Linked DNA regions of Coturnix japonica. The protein of the gene in region 1 binds, or shares a complex with, the protein of each later gene. Links are inferred from orthologs where the notes say so. Each region holds a gene or a part of one and is shown in the gene's direction. Other genes may lie near its edges. The genes, in order: NCAPH2, SMC4, NCAPG2, SMC2 and NCAPD3.

Region 1 (2,574 bases):
TCTGCAACCTGTGAGTGTTACAGTCTGACCTTACCTGGCTGCTGCTCCCTGCTCTCCTCAATGGGCTGCACCTGTAGGGGTTTCTAAATGCAATCCTGTTCTTCTCAGACAACAACGGTGCTGACTGCAGGAAAACCAGGAGGAAAGGGCCGACGTTTGCTGGTGAGAAGGGCAGGGTGGGCTGAGTTGGGGTTCAGGCTGCAGCCATATGCAGGGCTCCAGGTGCAGCAGTTGTGCTGTGAAGCCCTTGTTGGGGTTGGGTTTGCATTGGGAAGAGGCCAATAATCCTTATCTGGGGTGACAGATTATTGGGGTGACAGTGGTTGCTCTAATAGAGCAGTGTGAGGGCTGAAGCAAAGGACGTGGGAGGAATAAGCAGTTTTACAACTTAAAATGGATGAGGATTGGTCGTGTTTAATGTTCACAACACTGAAACCTGTGACTTCCAGTCCTGCAGCCGTTCCTCATTCAAAAAGCAGCCTTTAAACATTGTTATGCAGAGCGTTGCCCCCTTCTTGCTGTGCAAAACCTCTTCTGCATTCAGGGGAGCTCCCAGCTTGTTGGTGCAGAGAGAAGGATGGGTGCTAAGGCAGCCCCAAAACCACACTGTGGAACCCAGGAAGCCTCGTTCTGTATCAGGGGATGCAGGTTGGCAGTGCTGACCTGTGCTTTGCGTTGTGTCTGTGCAGATCTGGAGGCGCTGTACTGGAAGCAGCAGCAGGAGCGGCTGGTGGCACAGAGGAAGCTGCAGAGCAGGATGGTGAGCACGCAGATGGGGTTGGAGGGTGGTGGGAGCCGCGCTGGCTGGGGACTCAATGCTTTTCCCCAGGGGCCACCCTTGTTACTACGGCCAGAGCATGAAGAGGAGGAAGAGCTGAATGCACCGGAGCGGGATGATGGGGATGGAGAAGCAGCAGGTATTGCTGAAGTCTCTGATCTCTCTGAAGTCTCTGAGGGCTGAGCTGCTGCAGGAGCTATGGGGGTCCTTAGCACAGCCTGCCCTTCCTGCAGATGACTTTGTGGAGCATGAAGACATCCAAGAGGAGGATGTGGAGAATCTAGTGGAGAAAGCCATGGGTGAGCCCTGGGGGAGCTGTGAGGGCACCCCATCCTTCAACCACTGCAGTGCATCCTGAGCAGCTGTGTGTCCCACCTATGGGGAACAGATGTGCCTGTCCTCACCTGGAGGCACAGGGCCAGGCATGCAGTTCCCCCCCATCCCATCACACTGATAACACTGACCTCTCACAGCTCCCTGTGACGTGGATGCGCTGAGCTATGAGGAGCTGGTGAGGAAGAACGTGGTATGTGTTGTGCCCGAGCTCAGGGCAGGGACAGCGAGGGCACAGCGGGTGCTGTAGGTGTCCCTCATCCCCACACTGTCCTTGTTCCCATCTTGTTCCACATCCCTTGGTCCTTGCAGGAGCTGTTCATCGCCAACTCCCAGCGGTACGTACAGGAGACGGAGCTCTCCCAACACATCCGCCTTTGGGAGGAGAAGATGGGGCCGGCGCTGCAGGAGCAGGTAAAGCTGCAGGGGGAACAACAGTGGGGCTGGATGGGGGAGGCAGAGGGTCAGCACTGACCCCGCTGTCATGCAGGAGGAGCGTACGGCCTTCGACATCCACAGCTACGGGGACAGGCTGGCAGCTCGATTCGGCAGCCTGGGGCAGTGGCAGTCCTTTGCCAGCCTGGTGGCCGGGCTGCCCCCCTTCGAGGTGTGCCGCTACATGCTGGCCTCATTGCAGCTGGTGAGTGTGGGGCCCTGGGGGTGAGGGGGGGGGAAGATGGTTGGATATGGGGGGTAGGGCTTTGCTGCAGCCCCTGCTCCTCTCCCCAGGCCAACGACTACACGGTGGAGGTGGCGCAGGCCCCGGGGCTGGAGGAGGCCGTGGACACGGTACGGCTGCGGCTGCTCACAAGAGAGCGGGCACACGAGCGCTTCCGCACCTACATGGCCCCCTCAGCCTGCGAATGAGCCCCTCACCCCATATAAACCCCCCCCTATTCCACTCTGTACAGCCCCCACCACCCCACAGCTCTCAGCAATAAACCTCCCGACTTTAGTAAAGGCGGCCTCGTTTTTGGTGACGTGAACAAAGCATCCCTATGGGCTGGAGTGGGTTATAGGGAAGCTTCTTGCTGCTATGGGGACTGCCCCCCATGCAGGCAGAGCCTTTTGGGGCTGCAGCTTCCCTGTGGGGGCTGCCCCCTGTCCAGGCAGAGCCCTGAGGGGCTGCAGCTTTCCTTTGGGGCTGTAGCTTCCCTTTGGGGGCTGCTCCCCATCCTGAGACCTTTGGGGCTGCCCCACGTCCAGACAGAGTCCTGTGGGGCTGCAGTTTCCCTTTGGGGGCTGCCCCATGTCCAGGCAGAGCTCTTTGGGGCTGCAGTTTCCTTATGGGGGGGGCTGCCCCCCATTCTAAGCCCTATGGGGTTGTAGCTTCCCTTTGGGGCTGCCTCACGTCCAGACAGAGTCCTGTGGGGCTGTAGCTTCCCTCTGGGGCTGCAATTTCCTTTTGGGGGCTGCCCGAGAGTCCTGTGGGGCTGCAGTTTCCCTTTGGGGGCTGCCCCCCA
Region 2 (3,514 bases), on another chromosome or scaffold:
CATAAAGAATATGTTAACCAAATCATGTAGATATATTTGTTCTTCTATTGAACGGCTTTTGTATCTGTTTCCTGCTAGTAAAAGAACCTTTCACACAGCATGACTGATACAGTAAATCCCACAGGTGAGTTTTGATTGGTAACATCCATTTTTGCAGGGCAAAGAGAAAGAGCTGATGGAGTTTTGTAAGACGGTGAATGATGCGCGTTCAAAGATGGATGTAGCGCAGGCAGAACTCGATATCTACCTCACCCGCTATAACTCTGCTGTGTCTCAGCTAAACCAGGCAAAGGAGGCTCTGATGAATACTTCTGAAACTATTAAGCAAAGGAAGGCTGCTATTAAAGATATAGAAGTAAAGTTACCTGCTGCTGAACTGGAATTAAAGGAGGTGAGACCTAGCTTTCACACGTGGCATTTAACAACTACATTCAGATACTTAATTAACCACTGAAGTTAAGTATCTGATTTTAAGCTTATTTTGGTTTAAGAAAATATTAACATGAAGCATGGGAAATTAAATCCCATGCATCTCTACAAGGAAACCGGTTTAAATGTAATAATTAGATGTGGTAGAATAAATGAATAGCTGTTTCTGAGCCATTTGAACTTCACTTCATGCTCCCCCCTTGTAGAAAGGAAAATCCTGATACTTCTGTGTAAGCCTGATTCATACATGCAGAAGCTGTTGTATCTGTTTCCAAGTGTGCAAATAACAGCCATTGTGGTGAATGTTTTGCTACCTCAGTTTTCCTGTGGCTGCATTCACTGCTTACACTACCATGAATCCACGTCCTAGAGTAGAGAAGGTTTCCTGTGGCTGACACTGCTCTTGTACCCATTAGAAAGAGAAAAAGCTTGAGAAGCTTAAAGAAGAGGAACTGAGCACTCAGGATCTTGTTCGAAATCTCCGTCAAAAAGTAGAAGAAGCCAAAAGTTCTTTAGCACAGCACCGCAGTCGAGGAAAAGTGCTCGAGGCTCTGCTTGAGCAGAAGAGGTCGGGGAGTATTCCCGGAATACACGGGAGACTGGTAAGTTGTGAAAGGCTGTTGCAGATTTTGTCTTAAACTTCATGGGGGAGGAGCAGTTTTTCTGTGAATAGGTGAAAGGTAGAATAAGGTAAAGGTCTGAAGACGTTGCTGAAGTAGGGCTCTTTGTTCCTTTTTTCTTTCTGGAACTAAACAATGCATATATTGATATACATATATGTATACATGTATATTCTGCTGTTGTTTCTTTGCCCCTCTTGCTCCCGAAAGTATATATAATATATATAATCTGTTTCAGAACACTCAATGCATGTCTATTAGAAAAACTGAGATATAGGCAAATGTAAAGGATGTAGTTCAAGTGGCAGCACACAGCTGTCTGGCACCGCTTTGTTTTATGCTGTGTTACCACTTTCCAGAGGAAGGACTGAGGTTCAGATGTTCCAATAACCTGATACCATTTCTGAGCCATGTACAGGAATGCTCTGACCTGAGAGGTGCTATCAGCAAACCGATGGTAGAACCACACACGGAATAGACAAAATGATTTTGTAGGCCAGACTGCCTCACCGAAACACTGGCATATAAAATGTACCATTTATCTGCAGAAAGGAAATCCACTGCTACCACAGTGCTTTGTCAGAGTTACTGCTTTTGAAATTCTAAGTGCATAATTCATATTCTATTATGGAACTGAGTACAGGAGAAGGACATAAACAGCAGCGTGCAGGAGAAGTCGGGTGTGACCTTAATTCACAAAATTTAACTAAGGTTTAAGTTATTTGGCAAAAAAAAAAAAAAAAAGTGTTATAATTAGTTTTCATCTCATTGTCTGTAATGTTTTGTTGTGTCTCTCACCACCAAGACAAAATATTGATGCCCAGATAATGAGAGCATTTCTGCCTCCCCCTCTCCATTTCCCCTTCAATTCTTAGGGAGACTTGGGAGCTATCGATGAGAAGTATGACGTTGCTGTCTCATCATCTTGTGCTGCCCTGGACTACATCGTCGTTGATACAATCGATATTGCCCAGGAATGTGTGGAGTTCTTAAAGAAAACAGGAATTGGATCTGCCACGTTTATAGCCCTGGACAAAGTAAGTACTAGTGCTGCGGCAAAACAAATTACATTGTCGAGTTACCCTACGATGATACCTGTATACACACCAATATGTGGTACGTTAATATATTGCACTGTCTAATTATCAACATAGGTAAAGCTAAAATGCAAAATATTTAATTATAATGCAAGTAAGTGGAGATCCCTAAGAAAGGAAGTTTCAGCATTCTGAGAAGTTACATTTCACGAAAGAACATCTACATTTGCTTTAAAGCCTCAGTGTATCTCACATTATGGCATCATTTCATTACTCTGTCCAAAGGAACCTGCATTACTTCATCCGTTATTACCTGTTTTCCTGTAGATGGACGTATGGAAGAAACATCTCGCAAAAATCCCAACTCCTGAAAATGTGCCTCGGCTGATTGACCTGGTGAAAGTAGAAGATAAGACCTTCTCCCCAGCGTTTTACTTTGCGTTACGTGATACCCTGGTGGTTAAGAACTTGGATGATGCTACCAGGGTAGCATTCCAAAGAGATAAAAGGTGGAGGGTTGTAACGTTGAAAGGAGAAGTCATTGAGCAGTCAGGTATTGAAGCGTAAACTTCTGATGATGTGTTCAGCACTTCATAGGTGCTATCTAAGCAAAACAAAGCATGCTGACTTCTCTTCCTGTTTCATTGCTTTAGGAACAATGACTGGTGGTGGGACTAAAGTAATGAAGGGCAGAATGGGCTCCTCGGTTGCAATTGATGTTTCACCAGAAGAGGTTAGTGCATATTCCTAATTAAAAATGAAATTTCTTTAAAGTTTGTTATGTTTTGACAATTCATACACTGCTGATGTTCTCAGCAACCTCCATGTTCTGCCCAGCTAAAGAAAAGTCTCAAGTTGTTAAGAGCTCATAGACCATCCAGCATGTGAACGAGTGCTTGCTGTGTTTTGTAGTGGTGACACTGAGAGCGATCATGTTTCGTTTTTGTGTAGATCGACAAACTGGAATCTGAACTGCAGAGGGATTCCAAAAGAGCAGTACAGTGTGGAGAAGAAAAGTTACAGCTGGAAGAAGACATAACAAAGCTACAGAAAGATGTCTGGGAAATGAGAAGTACTTTAGAAAAGTACACAGCGACTATCCAGGTGAACAAGTCTCATTGAGGCAACGTCCAGTTTGTATATGTGTGTGCAGGAGAACAGCTCCTCAGCCTCAAGTCCATGTCAGCTTTGTCAGTACCACAGACCTTTCTTATGTATGGGATTCTAACACAGTTCTGTTTTCTGTAGAGTTTTTCTGAACAAGAAATTCGTCAAAAAGGCCAAGTTAAAGAACTTGAAGCAAATGTAACAGCTGCTGCTCCAGACAAAAACAAACAGAAGGAAATGGAGGAAGTCCTCAGTAGTTATAAAAAAGGTACTTATTGTGGAGAGGGATTATAGATAGAAACTGTATTCATGTTCACTTAC
Region 3 (4,310 bases), on another chromosome or scaffold:
GCTCGCAGCTCAAGCACCATCCTTGAATAAAACCAACACAACCCTATTCTGCCTCTGTGCTTTTAGATGTGGCTCTTTAGAATGGATCAGTGTTACCAGCCCGTCGTTACCTGTGTCAACTTTTAGCTTCAAGACCGTGAAAAAATCATTTTGTGGTTGCTATGCGACACGAATTGTAAGCTAGAATATGTTGTAGTTCATTTGCTAAATGGAGAGGTGCCTGACTAAATAAACTGTAACCAGGTGACTAATGCGGCATTTAATTAAAGCCTAATCAAGGTATTAATGAAATATTCAGTCCACACAAGAGACGTGATAAACAAATCAATCAGTTTGTATCAAAAATGTCAAAGATTCTTAATGCATGCAAAAAATCAGACGTTAGCACTACGCAGAAATGTCAGTTTTCATACTTTTTTTTTATGTACTTTTGCTCCTCAGCAAGTATAATTGCTCACGCAACTTATTTCAAGCAAACTGCTTCACTGGCTTCTTGCACTAAGTGCAAGAAGAAGCTTAACAAAGGCAGGATCTGAAACATGCTTTAATGCCTGACCCTTTTCTTCAGGGTAGCAAAATATTCCCTTCTTGTGGTATTTGGTTTCTGGAAGCCAACATCTGGCTGTCCCCACCTGGTGGGGTTTAGAGGTCAGAGATCTGCCTCTGCAGGGACCTTTCTCTGGATGTGGGCTGGTTGATGTTGGTATTCACTGAGTGGCCTTTTCCACACTTGAAAGATGATGAGTCTTTGCCTACATGCAAAGCGCTGTGAGGAGGGATGTACTTCTTTGGGTTCAGGCAGAGCTGAGGAGTGCTGGGCAAGATGAGCTTTTTGTCTGCTAACACCTTCTGTCATACTGTCCCTTCCTTGAGTAAATCTGATTCCATCATCATATCCATATCATAATTAATGTCACCTATTCCCCTGTGGGTGTTTAATCTCTTACTTATTTTAAATCCAAGTTACTTCAGAAGTTGTACGTGCACTTGGCTGTTGACTCAGGAAATGAAACCATATTTTACCTGTTTTCAGTAATGTCAGTCATCTGTTACATCTCAAACCTATATGGAATAGCATTAATTGTATGGAATAAGCATATAGTAAGCCAATTCTTTAGTTTTTAGTCTTCAGACTGTAAAAATACAGAAATAATTTACTCAGAAGCTTAAAAAAAGTAATGGCATAAGTCAGTAAGTCGCCTGTATGACATGAAACGTTACAATCTGTGAGTGGAACGGAGAACACGACTAGATTTGAAGGCTGCTTATGCTTACTTTGATTCCAACCACGCAAAGTGTAGGAATACGAATAAAACTCTGAGTTATCAAAACACCACCTTATCGAGATGCAAATATCACCTGGCCACAGCCACGAAGGCTCCATTCAGACACATGCCAAAAGGTAAAAACGCCGTTTATTTACCTATATTTATCCTCTCATTATTCATATACCGCACTGCCTCTGAGGGAGCGCATCGCTCCCGCCCACAGCGGACACTCCCAACTCTCGCGCGATGAGAACTCGGCTGCACTGGCGCCCAACGGCCGCCGCGGGACGATTCGAACGTGGCGGCGGGGCCTCAGAGAGAGGGCGGGCGGGTGCCGCTGCCTTTCTTTATTCCTCCTTTACAGACAGGCAGGCGTGTTTGGGAACGCCACAGGTAGGTAAGAGGCCTGTGTGCCTCCTCCTCATGTCACCTCCTTCTGGGCAGTGTGTTTGGGACGGCTTTCTGCAGAGTCAGAGCTGTGGAACAACAGGAACTCAGGATTCCCGCCCAGATGAACGGGGGATCGCGGATGGGTGATGGGCTGTAGTACAAAATGAAGCGCTTAGAGCCAGAAAGTGGCTTGATTCCACCTTATCCTCGTTTGACAGGAGGAAAAGGGGTCGATATTTTGCCTTCCAGATGCTTTTTCGTGTGAGGAAATGCGTCTGTTTGGAATGGTGGCTGGGTAAATAGGGTGTTCGTGCTGGTGATGCTATTTCTGTTTAAGGTGAAGTGGTCAGCTACGATGTTCCAAGCTTTCTTTTCAGGCCTTGTTTAATTAAAAATAAAAAGGAGAGAGCAGTGTGGCTTAGTGCCACTGCCAAGCTGTGAGTTAGCCAGTGTTGAGTTAGTTAACTAATGTACCCGGGTGGGCATCTTTTATTTGAAGAGGAGGCTGAGGGGGAACCTTATTGCTCTCTACAGCTGCCTGAAAGGAGGTTGTGGTGAGCTGGAGTCAGCATCTGCTCTCAGGTAACAGCAATAGGTTGAGAGGTGATGGCCTTCAGTTGTGCCAGGGGAGGGTCATGTTGGATGTCTAGAAAGACTTCTCTAAAAGAGCAGTTGGACACTGGTGCAGGCTGCCCAGGGAGCAGCCTTTCAATACCTGAAGGGAACTTACTCCCAGGAGGGGAGTAAACTCTTGGAAAGGGCTGACAATAGCAGGACACGGGGAAATGATTTTAAGTTAAAAGAGGGAAGATTTAGGTTGGATGTTAGGGGGAAGTTCTTCACTAGGAGAGTGGTTAGGCCCTGGAACAGGCTGCCCAGGGAGGTTGTGGATGCCCCGTCCTTGGAGGTGTTCAAGACCAGGTTGGACGGGGCCCTGGGCAACCTGATCTAGTAAATGTGTATGTTTGGTGGCCCTGCCAGGCAGGGGGGTTGGAACTACATGATCCTTGAGGTCCCTTCCAACCCGGGTCATTCTGTGATTCTGTGGTGGAGTCATCATCCCTGGAGGTATAAGAGAAGAGGGTGGATGTGGCACTGAGGGATGTGGTCAGTGGGCGTGGTGGGGGTGGGTTGGTGACTGGACTGGATGTGGTCTTAACAGCCTTAATCATATAATTCCATTATAACCGTGTAGGTAAAGAATGTATTTTCGTATGTTATTCACTGTAACCATGAAGTGGTAACACTTTGAGATACGGTACTTTTCTCCAACATGCAAGTAAAACATACTTTTATTGCTTATTTTTTGTTTATGAGGCAAGGGGAAACAAGAGCACAATGAAACGTGAAGCATTTTTACAAGCTGTGTCTAAGAACTCAGTGGAGGATTTCTTGCGTTTCACTCAAAGTTCTGTAAGTAAACCATGATGTGTGTGTATGACTATTAAAGTCTAAAGCCTGCTATTGGTGCGTGGGATATCTGGCATAGAAGTTGCTTCTCTGACACCTGCAAGTGGATTGTAGTTGATCAAGGTAATTGCATGTGCCAGTAACACCTTGCACATTGCAAGGATAATTGCATGCACCAGTACAGGCTGGGGGAAGACCTGCTGGAGAGGAGCTCTGCAGAGAATGACCTGGGCGTCCTGGTGGATGACAGATTGACTATGAGCCAGCAGTGTGCCCTTGTAGCCAAAAAAGCGAGTGGCATACTGGGGTGTATTAAAAAGAGCATGTCCAGCAGGTTGAAGGAGGTGATCCTCCCCCTCTACTCTGCCCTGGTGAGGCCTCATCTTGAGTACTGTATCCAGTTCTGGGCTGCCAGTACAAAACAGACAGGGATCGTCTGGAAAGAGTCCAGCTGAGGGCCACAAACATGATAAAGGGCCTGGAACATCTCTCCTATGAGGACAGACTAAGTGATCTGGGTCTGTTTAGCCTTGCGAAAAGAAGGCTGAGAGGGGACTTGATCCAGGTTTATAAATACCTGAGGTGTGGGAGCCGTGGTGGCGAGGCTGGTCTCTTTTCATTAATGCGTGGGGATAGGACTAGGGGTAATGGGATGAAAGTGCAGCATAGGAAGTTCCGCACAAATGTGCGGAAGAACTTCTTTACAGTGAGGGTGACGGAGCACTGGAACAGGCTGCCCAGGGAGGTGGTGGAGTCTCCTTCCCTGGAGATATTCAAGACCCGCCTGGACACCGAGCTGTGCGATGTGGTGTAGGGAGCCTGCTTTGGCAGGGGGGTTGGACTCGATGATCTCTAGAGGTCCCTTCCAACCCCTACAATTCTGTGATTCTGTGAAGGTGTGGGATCTGAGATGACACAGTGCTATAGACATGCTGATTTTCTTAACACTTGGTTGTTGCATACACCGTTTGCCTTTTTGACATTGTGGTCTTTGCTGCTAAACTTCAATCAAGCAGTACTTCTATTCTTCCCCTTCTCCTGCTTTAGTTTCCTGTTTCCCTTCTCTCCTTGCTTTGTTTCATTCAGTTCTAAAACTCTGGGGTTTCACTGCTCTCTCTCTGTGATTTGCCTTGGGCTTTTCACTTTTCTTTGTTTTTAAAAGATTACATTTCTATATTGTTGTGTTAAGTATCACTGTCATTATCAGGCACTGTTACATTTTTCCACTAAATCCTGTTCTAA
Region 4 (3,514 bases), on another chromosome or scaffold:
ATAATAATAAAGAAAGGTTAGCAATTGGTGTTTAAAATGAGTATGGGGGTTTTAATTTATTTTTTACTACTATAGCATGGTACACAATTGTAATTTTCCTTTTGTCTTTCTTTAACCAGGGGCGAATTACTAAAGTTCTAAATATGAAGCCAACGGAGGTGAGAGAACTATGACTTATTTATTTTTTTCTTTCTGGATAAGAAAGTGTTATAGAGGGATAACATGTTAAGCTTGCTTTAGGTTGAACCAACTTGACATGATAAAAATCATTAAAACTCTGTCAAATTATTTTATTCTAGATTCTATCTATGATTGAAGAAGCAGCGGGTACCAGGATGTATGAATGCAAGAAAATGACTGCCCAGAAGACCATAGAGAAGAAGGAAGCCAAACTGGATGAAATTCGAAGGGTTGGTACTATATGTGGGAGTGTGTGCTTTATTTGCTAAAGATAATGGATTACTAGCACAGGGTGGGTTTTTTTTTGTTTTTGTTTTTACTTGTAAACTATTTCCTTTCTTTATATGTTTCTCTATGTGCAGATATTAATGCTACATGTGTTTTAAAAATCTGAATACCAATGTTCTGGTTTGTGTTTCAGATCATAACTGAAGAGATCAGCCCAAGTCTAGAGAAACTGAAAGAGGTATGGAATATTTGGAGAAGTGGTAAGAGGCTTTAAAGTACTGAAGAAATACTTTCAAATAACTTGAACTGGTATGTGGAAGATAGGACGTGATATTTTTTCAGCCTTTTTAGAATCTTTTAGGTGATGTAAAATTTATCACCTATCCAAATATAGACAGTGTGGTTTGCAGGAATTACAAGATATATGGGAGAGGGACATAGGGAACAATAAGCAAATGAGAGAAACAGAAAACATAGAAGTTAAATTCTTGTCTTAGTTGTTAAACTTGCCTCAGGTGGAGTTTCTGTTATACAATCAACTGCACTAGTACAGCTTCATCTAGAATTTTCTTAAGTAGGTTTGCAGTGTACAATACTGAACGTTATATATTATATTCATATTACATATAATATTCTATAACAGTACTACCCTAATTTTCTTTCACCCAATTTTAACCCTTATTTTCTTTCAACCTATATCTTTTCAGGCACGTGCATCGTATCTAGAGTACCAAAAAATAACACGAGAAATGGAGAATTTAAAACGCGTCTGTGTGGCTTTTCAATATATCCATGCTGAAGAGATAAAAGATCAGACTACTAACGCTTTAAAGGAAGCAAATGAAAATAAGAAGAAAAATTTGGAATTAATGGCTGTGAATGAGGAGAAGGTAAAGGAACTTGCACAACAAATAGAAGATATGGAAAAGAAAAACAATAAGGTAAGTGAGAACCCAGATACGCTCACCTGAAAGTCTTAATAGAAGGAAGTATGTGAGAAGAAAATTATTTTTGTAGATGGTATGCACTTAGATTTTACTCCTTCTATGGTGAATTGTTTAGATTATACACCGCTTACTCAATAGTAGTCATTCCCTAAACGGGGGTGTCTATAAAGTTTTAATGTCTGAAATACTGTATTTCCAACTGCTGTAAATCACAGAATATCCCAAGCCAAGAGAAACCTTCAAGGATCAGTTTCCTATTCAGTAAATTCCCAAATAATATCAACAATTTTGCCAGGCATTGGAGTGAGACTGAGTGATTTAAGATGATAACACTTTTCCCTCATATTTCTACTCTGTGTATTCAGTGGAAAACTTTATCTGATTTTTTTTTTTAATTTTTTTTTTTTTTTTTTTTTTTTTGTCCATTTCAGATGAAATGCACTTGCAGTGGGAAATACAAAAATCACTAGTGACCTCAGATACAGAGGTAGAAAAAGTAGTTATGTACTGAGTATCCCACAGCATCTTTTCATTCTTAAGTGCAACTCCTACACTTCCCCTGCAAGGACAGAGTTTCTCAGTAACTACAGTTGGGCTCTAGCAGTGGCTTCAAATTAGTACGGACTTCTGTGGGAAGAGGTTTTAGCCCATTTGTTTTGGAGTCTCTATCTGCTTCATCAGACATGCATCTCCTATGTATAGCTATGATCAGAAAATGAAATCTTAAATATTGGATAACAGTATACATAAAATTTCCATTGTTTCTGAATTTAGGAATTTGGTGCTAAGTTACAGTCGCTGGAAGCTGCTCTTTCAGAACTCCAAAGAGTTGATGCTAAAGTCCGCAGTGATCTTGATCACAAGAAGAAAAACTTAAGTGGTGAAAAGAAAAGGCATAAAGAATTGACTAAAGTCATGCAGGAGGTAAGCCCTTTGTTTATGTTATTCTTTTTAAGCACTGATGTAGTTCGGTGTGCATTGGGACAGCAGGTTTTTATTATCTTTTCAAGGTTGATGGGAAGGAATAGCAACAGGAGGGCAGAAACAAATAATAAGTGGTGTTACTTGATTTGTATGGCACAGTTAGTAGACTGCCACTAAAAACAAATAAGATGTATTTATGAAGGAAGTCCAGCTCTGCTGTTGACAACTTTGTTTTAATTTTGGGAGGAGATCCCAACTGCGTTCAGGAAACCTGCTAAACTTAAAGGAAAAACATCTACTTCATGCTCTTGACATTTAATTCATTTCTCTTAAATAGGAACACTAAATACTTTACAGAGAGCTGCTTTTCCTGGTTGTGCAGTTATCATTTTTTCCTCTATTTCATTTTTCTCTGTACATGTTGTGTTGAGTGTCCTCAATGAGCAGGTGCACGCTTGAAGTATGTAAAAACAGGCTGTGAAAACAAAAAAGCTGACAAAAGGTTTTAAAATCTTGATCAGTGAAACTAATCATAGCTGTACATCATCTGATTTACCAACATAAACTTTAAGTTAATAGGGGTTGTTTTTTTGTTTGATTTTATGTATCATTATTGTTTTTTTGCTAAAGGAATTTAAAGCGATAACATCAAAGGAAAAGGAAATAAAGAGTATACAGGAAGATCTAAATGGTTTACAGGAGGAAAGTAAAAAAGGTGCAGAAGCTTTAGCCACAGCACAACAGCATTTTAATGGTGTATCTGCTGGCCTGTCTAGCAATGTCAGTGGTCGAGGAAGTTCTCTTGCTGACCAGATGATGACCTGCAAAAATGAAATTAGCAAAGCAGTAACAGAGGCTAAACAGGTAAGAGTCAGAGCTCTCTTGATGCACTGTTGGGAAAATTATAGAATATATATGCAAAGTATTTTGGCATAGGCCAAAAAATGTAAGGTTTTTTTAATTAAGCAGGCTGTTTAAAACAGGGAAGTCCTTGAGCCAACATAAGGAAAAGTTACAACATTGCCTTGAAGAAATACAGCAATTGGTATACAGATGACTGACAGTGTAAAATAGGAAGCTTAGAATAGGAAATTAAAGTATGTCTGTATTTAACTAGCAGGATCAAGTGTGTCTGAATAGGGAGTTTGGGAGGAATTACTCTATTACATTTTATGCTAGTCACATTACTTGAAACATGTCGCATCCTTCTTAAGATAGGAAACTTGCTGTGGTTG
Region 5 (3,514 bases), on another chromosome or scaffold:
AGTTTGATGCTCAGTGAAGAAGGTGCGGAGTCATTCTCTTATGATAAGTCTCAGGCTTTTCTTGGCGTGCTGCTTTCTAAAAATATGTGTATCCATAAAACGTGGGACATGTGTGCAGCTCTCTATTTAATGGTGAATCACGTGGAGTGAATGTATGCTCAGTTCTTAAGCTTTTAACTTTTCTTCCAGCTACGTCCAACCATCCGCTGAAGACCTTACCAAGCTTCAAAACGATTGAGCTGACAAACAGCAGCAGTGCTGCCATGGTGAATGGTATGTCACAGTTACAGCAGCCTTTCAGATAGCTCTTCAGAACTTCGATTACAATTATGTTTTCTGAATCTTGTTCGCTGACCATTTCTCAAAGAGCAGAGAGATCTTTCTGGAGAGCTGTTAAAAAACACAGGTGGTGAAGGGGTGGAAGTGCTTGCTGTATGGAAATGCCATTTCCACTTAAATTTGGGAAATACATTTAATTGTGAAATGCTGGTGTTCATTTGTATTAATGTGGTAGCAATACTCATTGCAAAGCAGATAATTTATACTTTCCCAAAAGGATGCTAATTGATGTGGGATGCAGTACTTGTAGCTCCATAGATTTAAGGGTAATTAAACCTCTTGCTTCAGTGCACAAAGAATGGATGTATTTTTGCTGCATAAAACACAGCACCTTTGACTGGCACTGTTATGCAGGGAAGCATTTAATTCTCAGCAGCACCAGGTATTGGCTGATGTTAAAAGCAAAGTGGGAGGTTAAATGGACTGATTTGCAACGTCAGTGTGCTAGATCTGATTCCTTAATGGCATGAAATCAGCACAAAAGTTGGCTTTCGTGGCTGTGATATTTCATTGAATCTCTTCCTCTTCAATGTGGAGTCCTCACATTTAGGCCTCTGTCTGTGTCTTCGCTCTCAGTTGTTGCTATTCACCTCTCTTGAACTGCTGACAATTCAATTTACTGCTTAGCTCGCATCCTGCCTCTGTGTCTTTGTTACACTTCTCATGCTGCTCTTCATGTGGGATCCCTCCATATCTTCATGAACCAGGCTCCTATCTTCTCTATTGAAAGCTTTCTTTCAAAACATTTTGCTGATAAATTTCATTAATCTGCTCTCTAAGATAGAATATCCTCAGGCCACTGAAGGTATTGTGTATTCCCTGTTCAGTTGCAGGCTCTGTGTGGCAGAGGATGCCTGGTTTTGTTATCTGATACACCAGCTGAGCCGCTTGGCACTTGGCAAAACAAATTAAGCAAAGGATTGGATCAAAAAGGGCTGTCTGAGGCTCAAGAGGATAGCTAAAAAACAGGCTTCTCAGAGCCAGTCAAGGTGCATTAGCAAAGCTGTCTGGCACACACTTGTTTGGCTTCTGCCTGTGCTAATTTTGCACTTCTATGAAGACCAAACAGCTTGTCTTTTAGAAGCAAAATAAATCTTTGCTGAGGATATTCAGAACTTGCAAAATGCACAAGGGCAAAGATAAGACTGGTAGGGATAATCTGCAGGGTGAAGTATACTCTATAGAGTATGCAGTGCCTGTCAGCCTATAAACACTCTATTCCCTTGCTAGTTTCTCTTGCTAGTTCTCAGCCATTTAGATCTCAGGGCTTGTTTGTTTTTTTCCCTATGCCACTATGCATAGAAATCCATGACAGTTGGCCAAGGTTGATCACTTTAGCAGATTTGGTTACCTTTGCAATAGCAGCATGACTGTTCTCTTGGCAGTGTCTTGCAAAGAAAAGGTTGTGTGCTTTTTCTGTCAAGCTATTCTCAGGAGAAAGACTCAGTTGCAGTTACCTGCCTACTAAGAAAGCACTAGTCATGCAGATTGAAATCCCTTAGCTTCATTTGATTAAAAAAAGCCTACTTTTAGACCCTATATTTATTGGTTCCCAATGACTAATTGTTTCTCTTAATGGAAACATGGTAGATCTCCAGATGAATCTCTCAAAGTAACAGGTTTCTGTATTTGCAAGTTCAAAATGTCCTTAGGAAAACTTAATTTCCAGCTTTGAAGGCAGCCTGATACCTTTTATATACAGAAATAAAAGAACTGGGAGTTACAGATTATTCCTTTTTGCTCTGTGTATGAAATGATTTGGTATATCACCAGATTTTGTGTTATGTCCTATGATTTATTTTCAAGATAGAAGAACTTTGGGTTTTTCTTCCCCTTGTCAGAATGGCAGCTGCAAAGGAGAACCCACATTCTTTCAGTTAGTTGTTGTTGTGCTTTCAGCCCTCATCTCTTGCTCCTGAAAACCTTGGGCAACAAACTGAGCTCTGCAAAGCATACAGAGGAGGTCTGGGTGGGTGTTATAACTTCTTTTTATCCTGGGTTTGGATAGGAAAAGAAATCATGGCCCTGCTGAGGCTGAGAGCTGGAGATGAGAAAACCACTGTGAGGAAATCTGCTCTCCAGGTATGGTGTTCTTTGCATGATTTCTTGTTCTGCATGATTACACAGAATGCCATTGGAACAAATAATTGAGCTGTAGTACTGCAGTGAACTGTATGTAAGTTTGCCCAGCTGTAGCTTCTTGCTATTCCCACCGAGTGCATTCAGTCCTTAAAAAGGTCATTTTTGCTAGTTCTTGATAAGTAAATAATGCAAGGAAGAAATAACATTCTAGTACTCTTTTGCTGGCATTCACTTATTCCATCATTTAGAGAAAGAGCCTCTTTCCAAATGTCAATAGGTATTTAACTTAAGCGACTTCCTTACAAACTGGGGCATAAGAGGTGCTTTGTTTCTACCTTGTTAGCAAGAGTTTGGGCTATATCTGGCATCATTTTGAGGGATGCACTGCTTTTCTGCTTGCTTCATTTTAATTAATTAAGTCATGAACTTTGAAAGGTATCTTCTTCAATGTGAATTTCACTGTTTTATAGGATACGGATCTGTTGTTGACTGCCTTTCTCCCTGTTAGTCCTCTTTCCCTTAGTTCTTCCCCTCCAGGATAAATCAGGATGAGAACACCTCAGGTTAAGGGTTTCTGACTGTTTTGTTGTGAGGTTTTCAATTCTTTTCCCTCTTATTGGCAGGTGAAAGATGTAGGTCATAACAAGAGAAACATTGGCTTCAAGGGGGAGTTGTGGCATTGACTCAATGCAGAATTCTCTTATAAAATCTGAAGGACTGAGAAGTTCTCTTAGCATTCTGTATCAAGTTCTGCCCGGTACTTAGAAATTACTAATGTTATGTTTCCCTTTCATTGCGATACATTCTATTCCCTGTTGACTTAAATTAGGGATTGATCTATTTCTGATTAATTTCCCCATGCATCCTGGCTCGTATTCCCGATGAACTCATGCTGTTTTTTGACCTGCAGGTTTTTACAAACATCCTGAAGCACAAAGCAATCCCTTGCACTGCAGAAGATTTGTCCACTCTTCAGGACCGTTGCCGGGACCCCGCAGTCTCTGTGCGGAAACAGGCCTTGCAGTCTGTGACAGAACTCCTCGAGGTGAGGAAATGAACAACACCAATTCTTATGGCTGAAATGTTGGTTTAA

Evidence for each region.
Region 2: the proteins of NCAPH2 (region 1) and SMC4 are in contact, whole or in part, in a cryo-EM structure (PDB 9F5W), measured with the Homo sapiens proteins. The link is inferred for Coturnix japonica from reciprocal best matches to the Homo sapiens genes NCAPH2 and SMC4. Residues at the interface, in NP_689512.2 of Homo sapiens: Arg494, Ile495, Trp498, Glu499, Thr501, Val502, Leu505, Leu506, Gln509, Glu510, His512, Phe547, Cys550, Arg551, Met553, Leu554, Leu557, Gln558, Ala560, Asn561, Tyr563, Val565, Glu566, Ile567, Gln569, Leu573, Glu574, Ala576, Val577, Asp578; in NP_001002800.1 of Homo sapiens: Ile100, Leu101, Gly102, Pro103, Ile112, Gly113, Pro114, Ser117, Gln1151, Met1152, Leu1155, Phe1227, Lys1228, Ser1231, Ile1232, Phe1235, Tyr1236, Glu1239, Gln1240, Asn1253, Asn1254, Phe1256, Glu1257, Arg1261, Gly1264, Ile1265, Tyr1266, Lys1267, Thr1268, Tyr1269.
Region 3: the proteins of NCAPH2 (region 1) and NCAPG2 are in contact, whole or in part, in a cryo-EM structure (PDB 9F5W), measured with the Homo sapiens proteins. The link is inferred for Coturnix japonica from reciprocal best matches to the Homo sapiens genes NCAPH2 and NCAPG2. Residues at the interface, in NP_689512.2 of Homo sapiens: Pro316, Trp317, Gln318, Ser319, Leu320, Pro322, Phe323, Asp324, Ser325, Leu326, Glu327, Ser328, Lys329, Pro330, Phe331, Lys332, Lys333, Gly334, Arg335, Pro336, Tyr337, Ser338, Val339, Glu344, Gln360, Asp361, Phe362, Gln364, Trp365, Tyr366; in NP_001268861.1 of Homo sapiens: Lys248, Leu251, Gln252, His292, Ile294, His295, Leu296, Pro297, Arg299, Ser300, Val302, Lys340, Ala341, Arg342, Asn343, Ser344, Glu345, Val346, Pro388, Tyr389, Pro390, Arg393, Gly425, Glu426, Ala428, Phe429, Asp430, Thr431, Ser432, Arg437.
Region 4: the proteins of NCAPH2 (region 1) and SMC2 are in contact, whole or in part, in a cryo-EM structure (PDB 9F5W), measured with the Homo sapiens proteins. The link is inferred for Coturnix japonica from reciprocal best matches to the Homo sapiens genes NCAPH2 and SMC2. Residues at the interface, in NP_689512.2 of Homo sapiens: Glu46, Phe53, Ile54, Glu55, Leu58, Leu59, Gly62, Ser63, Ala64, Cys65, Val66, Lys69, Tyr73; in NP_001036015.1 of Homo sapiens: Leu93, Thr125, Gln128, Asp129, Cys132, Gly135, Leu136, Asn137, Met173, Tyr174, Lys177, Lys178.
Region 5: the proteins of NCAPH2 (region 1) and NCAPD3 are in contact, whole or in part, in a cryo-EM structure (PDB 9F5W), measured with the Homo sapiens proteins. The link is inferred for Coturnix japonica from reciprocal best matches to the Homo sapiens genes NCAPH2 and NCAPD3. Residues at the interface, in NP_689512.2 of Homo sapiens: Trp22, Ser68, Lys69, Glu72, Tyr75, Tyr79, Leu82, Asp83, Ser86, Ile144, Ile145, Pro146, Leu147, Leu148, Met150, Ala151, Leu152, Val153, Asp156, Glu159, Asn161, Asn162, Asn163, Pro164, Leu165, Tyr166, Ser167, Arg168, Gly170, Leu173; in NP_056076.1 of Homo sapiens: Arg589, Pro591, Met629, Glu680, Arg683, Tyr684, His690, Lys724, Glu793, Asp800, Gln803, Arg804, Arg807, Gln817, Leu820, Gln865, Leu866, Cys867, Pro868, Ala869, Arg870, Val871, Val918, Ile925, Lys929, Leu932, Gln933, His934, Ala956, Asn960.

What each region holds. Positions count from the first base shown.
Region 1 is NC_029516.1:705,942-708,515, forward strand, and holds the end of NCAPH2 (condensin-2 complex subunit H2), read left to right. Parts: coding exon 1-10; intron 11-108; coding exon 109-162; intron 163-392; exon of another isoform or gene 393-689; coding exon 690-917; exon of another isoform or gene 918-1,011; coding exon 1,012-1,077; exon of another isoform or gene 1,078-1,153; intron 1,154-1,242; exon of another isoform or gene 1,243-1,251; coding exon 1,252-1,304; exon of another isoform or gene 1,305-1,423; coding exon 1,424-1,525; exon of another isoform or gene 1,526-1,601; coding exon 1,602-1,751; exon of another isoform or gene 1,752-1,840; coding exon 1,841-1,978; 3' UTR 1,979-2,071; downstream 2,072-2,574. UniProt on the Homo sapiens protein: Regulatory subunit of the condensin-2 complex, a complex that seems to provide chromosomes with an additional level of organization and rigidity and in establishing mitotic chromosome architecture.
Region 2 is NC_029524.1:19,680,971-19,684,484, reverse strand, and holds part of SMC4 (structural maintenance of chromosomes protein 4), read left to right. Parts: intron 1-157; coding exon 158-391; intron 392-845; coding exon 846-1,031; intron 1,032-1,924; coding exon 1,925-2,086; intron 2,087-2,413; coding exon 2,414-2,639; intron 2,640-2,739; coding exon 2,740-2,819; intron 2,820-3,037; coding exon 3,038-3,190; intron 3,191-3,334; coding exon 3,335-3,461; intron 3,462-3,514. UniProt on the Homo sapiens protein: Central component of the condensin complex, a complex required for conversion of interphase chromatin into mitotic-like condense chromosomes.
Region 3 is NC_029517.1:8,509,399-8,513,708, reverse strand, and holds the start of NCAPG2 (condensin-2 complex subunit G2), read left to right. Parts: upstream 1-1,499; 5' UTR 1,500-1,514; coding exon 1,515-1,661; intron 1,662-2,975; coding exon 2,976-3,071; intron 3,072-4,310. UniProt on the Homo sapiens protein: Regulatory subunit of the condensin-2 complex, a complex which establishes mitotic chromosome architecture and is involved in physical rigidity of the chromatid axis.
Region 4 is NC_029547.1:59,016,065-59,019,578, reverse strand, and holds part of SMC2 (structural maintenance of chromosomes protein 2), read left to right. Parts: intron 1-119; coding exon 120-158; intron 159-299; coding exon 300-410; intron 411-601; coding exon 602-646; intron 647-1,115; coding exon 1,116-1,349; intron 1,350-2,129; coding exon 2,130-2,279; intron 2,280-2,909; coding exon 2,910-3,143; intron 3,144-3,514. UniProt on the Homo sapiens protein: Central component of the condensin complex, a complex required for conversion of interphase chromatin into mitotic-like condense chromosomes.
Region 5 is NC_029539.1:2,131,391-2,134,904, reverse strand, and holds part of NCAPD3 (condensin-2 complex subunit D3), read left to right. Parts: coding exon 1-22; intron 23-189; coding exon 190-273; intron 274-2,347; coding exon 2,348-2,421; intron 2,422-3,331; coding exon 3,332-3,466; intron 3,467-3,514.